2 linked regions of the Canis lupus familiaris genome follow. The protein of the gene in region 1 purifies or fractionates together with the protein of each later gene. This does not show direct contact. Links are inferred from orthologs where the notes say so. Each region holds a gene or a part of one and is shown on either strand. Other genes may lie near its edges. The genes, in order: CASP8 and tumor necrosis factor receptor superfamily member 10D-like.

Region 1 (3,811 bases):
CCTCTTTCCAAAGATTCAACTCATAAAGTATGTCATTAGCTGTCTTTAAGGAGTGGTGACCAGAATCAAGTTTCCACTGCAACTCCTTTTGTCAAATGGGAAATTATCTGAGAAGCCATTTCTAAAGTGTCTCCATTTCCCACCACAGGGTCATGCTTTTTCAGATTTCAGAAGATGTAAGCAAATTGGAATTGAAATCCTTTAAGTTTCTCTTGAGCCGGGAGATCTCCAGATGTAAATTGGATGATGATTTGGTAAGCCCTGGTGATGTTTCACCAAGATCTGGTCCTGAGGTTGGGCCAGTCAGTGGGGACTGCTGCGACTGGAGAGAGGGCTGGTCCAGTAAAAGCAACCTGGACTCTCACTTTTTAACTAGGGGAAAGGAAAATGTTGTTGGGCCCCAGTGTTGCAGATACAATTCCTTTGTATACTGTGAAGTACTGCTCACATTAATTATCAGGAGCAGGGCAGAGTCAGTAGCTCGGAAAGAAGACTGGTGGTGGAAGCATAGCCCAATGTGGGGAAGGACTGTGGTGAGCTGGAGACATCTTCCCACTTCTGCAGTCTCTGAAACCACCTGGGACCTGAAACTCTGTATATGTGCATGTGCGTGTGCATGCATGTGTGTACGTGTGTGTGTGTGTGAGTGTGTGTGTGTGAACGTGGGACTGGAGGTGGATCAGGGACCAGAGGCAGTGTCAGGAGAGACGCAGCTCCCAGGGCTGTCACTATGGGGACCAGGCTACCTTGTCTCAGCCATGCACCTCAAGCTGTTTCACAACTTCACCTAATGGTGTCCATGGCTGATTTCAGCACAGGGCTTGGGGCCTGGGTGACACCTGATGTCACTTTTCCTCTACCTTCTCATTTCTGTCTTCTTGGGCCATACAACACAGAATTGCTTCACTAGTGCTCTACTGGCTTTATAAGACTGGGATGTCCTGTCAGGAGGGTTAGTTTGGGAAACTAGAGTAGGCCCTCTGTTTGGAGAAAGTGGAATGAATGAATGAATGAAAGAAAGAAAGAAAGAAAGAAAGAGAGAGAGAGAGAGAGAGAAAGAAAGAAAGAAAGAAAGAAAGAAAGAAAGAAAGAAAGAAAGAAAGAGAGAGAAAGAAAGAAAGAAAGAAAAAGAAAGAAAGAAAGAAGAAAGAAAGAAAGAAAGAAAGAAAGAAAGAAAGAAAGAAAGAAAGAAAGAAAGAAAATCTAATCTAAAAACCAGTATGTCTCAATCCAGTCTTCCAACTTTACTTCTCTTCCTTCTAGAACTTGCTTGATATTTTCATAGAGATGGAGAAGAGGGTCATTCTAGGGGAAAGAAATTTGGACACCCTGAAAAGAATCTGTGACCAAATCAACAAAAGCCTGCTGAAGAAAATCACAGATTACGAAGAATTAAACAGAGGTAGAAATAACTTGACTACTGTGAATTAGCAAAATGTATTCTTAAATTGACAGATCCCTCTGTCACAATTATTTCTAATCAAATGTTTCTTTTTTAATTCAGAGCAAACAATGAACCTTCAAAGAAGTCTAGATGAAATTTCAAATGGTAATATGAAATATGTTAAGACTTATTCAGTTAATTTATTATCAGATACCCCCATTGCTTCCTCTCCCCACAACCTTCTATCACGTCCACATCTTAATGGACGTGATACCTACTACCAAGTAGGCGGCTTGGTGCCTACTTGTCACTCTCTACATGTTGAAAGATACACAACTATTGTCAAAAGACATAGGCCTTCAGCCCCAGGCTGACAAGTTTAAAATAGGTGAAGAGTTAGTAAAACAATTTTTATTCTGTGGACTGCAAGGATATTATGTTCAAGGTAGTCCATGAATTTTCATTTTAAAGGGGACCTTATGGTATCCTTGGTGCTATGTGTTTCTTTACCAAAATACCCTCCCTTCTATGTCTCATTCCAGATATGTCTCAGTTGCCTATAAGGGAGGGATCCGTGAAGATATTGCCAATGTCGGACTCTCTAGGAGAACAGGACTATGAATCAGAGGTGTGTAGAAATTCAGACTCCTTTTTCTCTTTGGATTGCAGATTCTAGTTCTTGTATTCCTTAGCTTTCAAGTTTCCAGATAAACTAGTAAGAGGCAGATGCTTCCTGGAAATTTTGAGAAGTATAGAAAATTTTCACAAACAGACAAATTTAACATGTGATTTTCTTAAGTTTTAAAAGTAACAAGCATTAAAATTTTATTTTAAATCCAAAGACAAAGGCATTGGAATAGTTGGAGGGCTGAGGAATCGAGAAGCCTCCTGGCAACCCTTTCAGCATCTGCCCTGCTGAAGCGGGAGAAGGCTTTGGGAGAAAAGTGTAGTGGGACTGGGAAAAGCAAAGCCTTTTCTTTTAGGGTGACATTTCAAAACTGTTTCTCTGTGCTGATTTAGGGGTAAGCAACAAATACTCATGATCTAGCCGTCTCTATGTTCTCATCTCAATGAGCTGGGGAAAGAATCGCCTTTCTAGACATAATCATTTGGGTTTATTAACCGTCAAAGATTCACCAACCACATTTTGATCCATTAGCCCTTTTTACTTCCTCTCTGTGGCAGGAAGCAGAGGAAAACCTGAATGCTACCTGTCCAGGGGGAGACTTGAAATTAAACTGAGAGAGACCAGTTATGAGTGGGCTCCTGAGCAAATCACCAGACCTACCTAGCCCTGAAAATCGAGGATTGACCAAAGTCATGTCGCACTTTGCAAATAGTAAAGCACTCTACTGAGTGTTCATGTCCCCACTGAACAGCTAACCGTCCTGAGTGCCAGAAAGATTAGGTAATTGCACAAAGTCTTAAGATTATTAAGTAGTAGAACCAGGAATTTGAGCCTTTAGTGTGGAGCCCTTTTCTCTACCTCGAGGAGTTGCATGGGTTTCCCAGTAAATGCTGAGTATCTCAGCATTGAAACAACCCTGGGAAAGTCAGGACACAGGATACTGTAACCTGCAGTTAGGCAAGACCTGCCTGGCTAGTACATCTCTCTCTTTCAGTCCCTGTGGTCCTGAGAGCCAAATTAAGTCATTGGCTTTCAAAATCCTCAGACCGTACGATGTCATGTGTGAAGGGCAGGCCCTGGGCTGTTAGCCTAGAAACATAGATGAGTTGACTAGATGGCCAGTGGAAGCATGAGGTGACAATAGGCAGCCCAGAGACAGCATTAAGACATTCATCCACTCAGCATTTTCCTGATTGAATGCTCACAAATTAATACAGTCTAGTTCCTGGCACAGCTGTTAGTTGTCTTGAGCAGAAACAAGAACAAATGGTGAAAATATGTTATGATGACAACAGTGTTAATATATGTGCAAAGTGCTCAAGAGGCCCAAGTACTGGGACACTGATTTTACACACAACTGTGGGGCAGAAATGTGGGGATTCCGTGTCAAAGGAACAGGTGGAAACTAATTCACCAGAGAAATAATGTCAAGTTGGGGTAGGGCCATGGAAAGTGCACTTGTGTCCCCGTTTGGCTAAGAGGACAGCCTCACTTCTTACTAGGGAGTTATTTGTTCACATCCCAAGTGTTTGACTCACAGAGTCAGCTCTTGGGCTGGATTTTTGTTTTCCAGACATCGGACAAAGTTTACCGAATGAAAAGCAAACCTCGAGGATATTGTTTGATCTTCAACAATTATGATTTTAGTGTAGCACGGAGGGAAGTGCCCAAACTTCAGAGCATTAAGGATAGGAATGGAACAGACTTGGATGCAGGTACAGTAGAACCCTGAAAAGAAGTGAAATATTTCTAATATATAAGTTTTTTAATCAAAAGGTGAGAACAAAAATTGTACCAAC
Region 2 (4,295 bases), on another chromosome or scaffold:
GGCTGCTGTGACCAAAATAACTTTGTCTTTGCCCTCTGCAGGTTGAGATACTGTTCCCTTCGAACCCCGAAAATCACCAGCCAGCCCTGGACATAGAAACATTGTTGCTGAAGGAGGGGCTTGAGGAAAGCCCCCACCCAAGGCCTTTGGAGGAGACCGAGGAGGGCATCGAGCTGCAGGATGTGGTGGTCAGAGAGAGCCCCCCAGCTCCAGAGCAGGTGGTACAGACTCCTGCTCTGGCTGTCTCTGTGTCACAGAACCAGAATGAAGTGTTCCCCTCCCTTAAGAGTCTGGAACAGGTACGTGAGCCAGCCAAGGGGGTCTGAGTAATGACAGCCTGTGCTCATGGAGCACTCAGTGTGTGCAGAGCTCGGTGTTAACTGGTGCCATGCATGCTTTTGCACAATTCCTGTGTGAGTTTCCTGGGACAGCTTAAACAACAGGTGTTCCTTGTCTCCGTGTCCTGGAGGCTGGAAGCCCAGGGATGGCGTGTCATCAGGGCTGCATCTGCCCGAGGCTGAGAGGGCCCATCTGTGCCAGGCCTCTGGAGTCTTTGGGGCTCCTTGGGGAAGCGTCACCCCACCCTCTGCCTCCATCCTCACGTGGCATCTCCCTATGTGCAAGTCTATGTCTTAATTTCCCCTATTTGTGAGGATACCAGTCACTGTTGGAGTGGGCCCCCCATGACCTTGTCATAACTTTCCTATCCGCCGTAACCCTGTTCCTGGCTGCAGTCACATACACAGGTTTGGAGTCTAGTGTCCAGGGGGATGCAGTTCCACCCACAGGAGCCCACAGGTGCATGACGCCACAGCCTCTGAGCGCGTGCATGTCTTGGGTTGGCACACCAACACCCGCTAAGTGGCTCTGGGGAGTAGGGCTCTTCAGGAGGAGGAGGACAGAGCCCATGTTTAGGGAATGATGCGGTCTGGCTTCTGAATCCTACAGGCAGGGCACAGGTGAGTCCCAGGGAAGAGGTCCCAGGGCTTCTGTGCCAGATGCCGTGGACCCTGGGGCCCCCTGGCATGGGTGCAGAGGTTGCAGACTGCACTGTGGAAACTGCATTCCTGGGTTGGGTGCTCTTAGGCATCATTTGAGGGAGACAGCCCCTGAGTGTCTTCAGACTCCCCGAGGCTCTGAGAGGAATCAGTACAGAAGCTGGGAGCCCTGCCAGCTCTGAGTGTCAGGAGGCAGGGGGCTCCCTCTCAGGCTGTGCCATGAGGACACCTCCCTTCTTACCCTGTTTTACAGCCAAGCAGCCAGTGCACAGAGCAGGGAGTCGTTTTCTGGGGCCAACAGCACTGGGTGCGAGGCAGAGCTGGGGTCTGAAGGCCTGGCTTTCATGTCCACAGTAGGTAGCCTGACACCGATGGGGAACCTGACCTCCCCCATAGGAGAAGTGGGCTTTGGAGCTGCGGCTCATGGGCAGCTGGGTGCAGCTGGTGTGGGCCTCCACTGGGAGACTGCATCTGAGTCTCCTAGCATCTCACTATGCATTTCTATGGACAAGTGTGCTCTCTGTTAGCATTCCCTGGAGCAGAGCAGGTCACCCCCAGGTGACAAAGTAGAGCTGTTCCCCACCTGCCCAGGCAGGGACCACTGAGCTGCCTCTGGGCCCAGGGCATGTCCTGGGGGACAGTGACCCATAGGACATAAGTGGCCGGTGAGCTCTCTGCCCCCATGGTGGATTCCTCGAAGGACATCACATATCCATAGAGGCCCACCTGCCCCCACCCTGCTCCTTCCTCAAACCAGATTGTGGTTCTGTTTCAGCCTCCTTCTCCTGGAACAATTTTATTTTTTTCCCTCCACAGGAATATGCAAAGAGATATTTTGTAAAAGATACATCAAATGAAGGTACATATTCTGAATTCCTTTTTTTTTTTAAGATTTTATTTATTTGAAAGAAAAAAAAAGATTTTATTTATTTGAAAGAGAATGCGGGGGTGGGGCATGAGCAGGGGGAAGGGAGAGGGAGTGGGGAGAAGCAGAAGCAGACTCTACTGAGCAGGGAGGTCAATGTGGGACTTAATCCCAGGACCCTGAGATCATGACTTGAGCCAAAGGCAAACACTTCACTGACAGAACCACCCAAGTGCCCCTGAATTCCTCATTTATAGCAACTGTTAAGCCTTCATCTTGCTTGGCCTATGTGTCAAGGCCTGGTGTCCTTGTTTCCAAGGACCGTGTGCCAACCTGAGATGCGCTTTTTCACACTCAAGAATGACGTTAGGGGAAACAGCACTTGTCAAACATGAGTTTTGGGGGGGGGTTCATAGAAATTAGATACCGCTTTGATTTTATCATATGTTCATGTCTTTTAAGGAGGAATGAATGGTGGTAGGAATGCTTGTACCCTTGATGAATAGGCCCTTCTTGGTGGTCATCAAAGATTGAGACCTACCACATGCCAGGTGCTTTTTGTATAGTTCATCTTCACAGGCAGCTCTACAAGACCGCCCCATTGTCCAGGCTTAAAAACACGACAGTCTGAAACTGATAGGTTGCAAAACTTGTGCCAGGTCTCAGATCCTAACCGTGGTCCCCAGCCGACACCAGGCCTTCTCAGTCTTGAGCAGCCTACAGCCTCTATCAAGAGATGTTAAGAGAGAGAAGCAGGGCAAGTGAACTGCAGCAGACTGTGGATCCCCGTGCAGCCCCCAACTGTCCCGGATCCTTGGCTCCTTCTCCCAAGCTCCAGTGATGAGCAATAAGCAGGGCAAGAGCTGTGGCCCCACCTCAGTATCCTGGCCTCGTACCCAATCTGTGACATTGGTAGGGGGTCGCACAGGACCTTCTACCTCCTGGGTATGGTGTGCTAGCTGTCGCCCAGTCCCCAGGGGACAGGAGGAGACACCTGTGATTGCACCCCTGGGGAGTAGTGACAAGAGGTGCCACACAGTCCTCCCAGAAATGTAAAGTGGTTTTTTTTTGTTCTTATTTCTTTCAGGTACCACCAGGCTCTATTATGAATTTGAAGAAATGATCCTGGACAAGAACTGGAAATCTCTGATGAGACTTATCGGTCTTGAAGAAAAGGACATTGAAACTTGCGAGCACGAAAACCCAGACAATTTGACGGAGCAGCATCATAAGATGCTCCTCAGGTGGAGGAACAAGCTGGGAAGGGAAGCCTCAGTTTTTAAACTGTTGGCTGCCCTACATAAAATGCAGCTGCATATGTGTTTGGAAAATATTATCAACGTACTACTTGTTGAAGGCATCTTAGGCAGGCATGCAGAGACCTCAGATTAAACTTTTGGCATGGGATTATGCCTTCACACAGGATCTGACCTATGCCAATGTCTACCTTTTGGAAACTTCTCAGTTTTCAGTTAGAAAGAATCATGTGCGTCCATTAACAGTGTCTCACTACATTTTAGTGAGAGTGCTTCCTGCCAAGATTAGTTGTGGGAATCACCCGTGGCCAAGGTGTAACCAGGGGTGAGCAGGTCCTCACTAGATTAACATTCCTCAGGGAACTTTCCCCAAGGGAAATTGTTTTTCTATTTAAAACAATGTAGCTGCTTGTGCTGAAGTCTTTTATGTCCAGGATGTGAATGAAATGCACAGGATATAAATGAAATGCAGTATTCCTCAATCACACCTTAGTGACTGCTTTCAGTCACTGACCACAATAAGCGAAGCATTTAATTTTATTGTAAAGTTAGCATTAGTTTAGTAAGTATAAGTTTTTCTGTTGTGTTTTCCTGTGTTTGTGGTTTTTTTTTTGTATTTATTTTGATACTGTGCAGGAGTGGAGGGCAGAGGGGGAGGGAAAGGGGAGGAGAAAGTTTAAGCAAGCTGCCCAGCCTGATGGCGGGCTCCACTACATTCAAATCAAAAGCCACATGCTTAACCAATGGAGCCAGTCAAGCACTTTTGTTATTTATTTTTAATAAAATTTTTATCTTAAATAATGTTTCCTCTTCTTTCCGGTGTGTACACAACTTTGGGTGTGCTATCCCTGGCAGGGGGTATCGTGCACAGAGGAAGACATGGACCCCCAGGATTTAATTTGCCAGTGGGAGGGCTCTGGCATGGGGGTCCAAAGCTGCAGAAGCCTCTTTTGGTTTGTGTTCCCCAGGGGTCTCTATGTCCAGAAATACTCATGCCTCAGAATGTGAGCTCTGCTCTGCCCTCCTCACCCCAAACATCAGTTCCTGGATGTGTTCACAGATTAGCCTGCTTATTTCCATTCAGTACCAAGCCTTTGACTTCCAGTGAAAGTAAATGTTACAATCACTCTGCTAACCCAGAGGTGGTTCGCTACCAACTCCCTTGTCTCCCAGGCC

What was found.
Region 2: the proteins of CASP8 (region 1) and tumor necrosis factor receptor superfamily member 10D-like purify together in Homo sapiens (affinity purification with western blotting; 13 studies listed by BioGRID and IntAct, counting the BioPlex papers as one, with this or other methods). This does not show direct contact. The link is inferred for Canis lupus familiaris from reciprocal best matches to the Homo sapiens genes CASP8 and TNFRSF10A.

The regions. Positions count from the first base shown.
Region 1 is NC_049258.1:10,251,484-10,255,294, forward strand, and holds part of CASP8 (caspase-8), read left to right. Parts: intron 1-148; coding exon 149-254; intron 255-1,263; coding exon 1,264-1,402; intron 1,403-1,504; coding exon 1,505-1,549; intron 1,550-1,926; coding exon 1,927-2,012; intron 2,013-3,585; coding exon 3,586-3,727; intron 3,728-3,811. UniProt on the Homo sapiens protein: Thiol protease that plays a key role in programmed cell death by acting as a molecular switch for apoptosis, necroptosis and pyroptosis, and is required to prevent tissue damage during embryonic development and adulthood.
Region 2 is NC_049239.1:47,463,164-47,467,458, reverse strand, and holds the end of tumor necrosis factor receptor superfamily member 10D-like, read left to right. Parts: intron 1-41; coding exon 42-299; intron 300-1,251; coding exon of another isoform or gene 1,252-1,329; exon of another isoform or gene 1,330-1,351; intron 1,352-1,814; coding exon 1,815-1,857; intron 1,858-2,016; exon of another isoform or gene 2,017-2,589; intron 2,590-2,950; coding exon 2,951-3,255; 3' UTR 3,256-3,707; downstream 3,708-4,295. UniProt on the Homo sapiens protein: Receptor for the cytotoxic ligand TNFSF10/TRAIL. The adapter molecule FADD recruits caspase-8 to the activated receptor.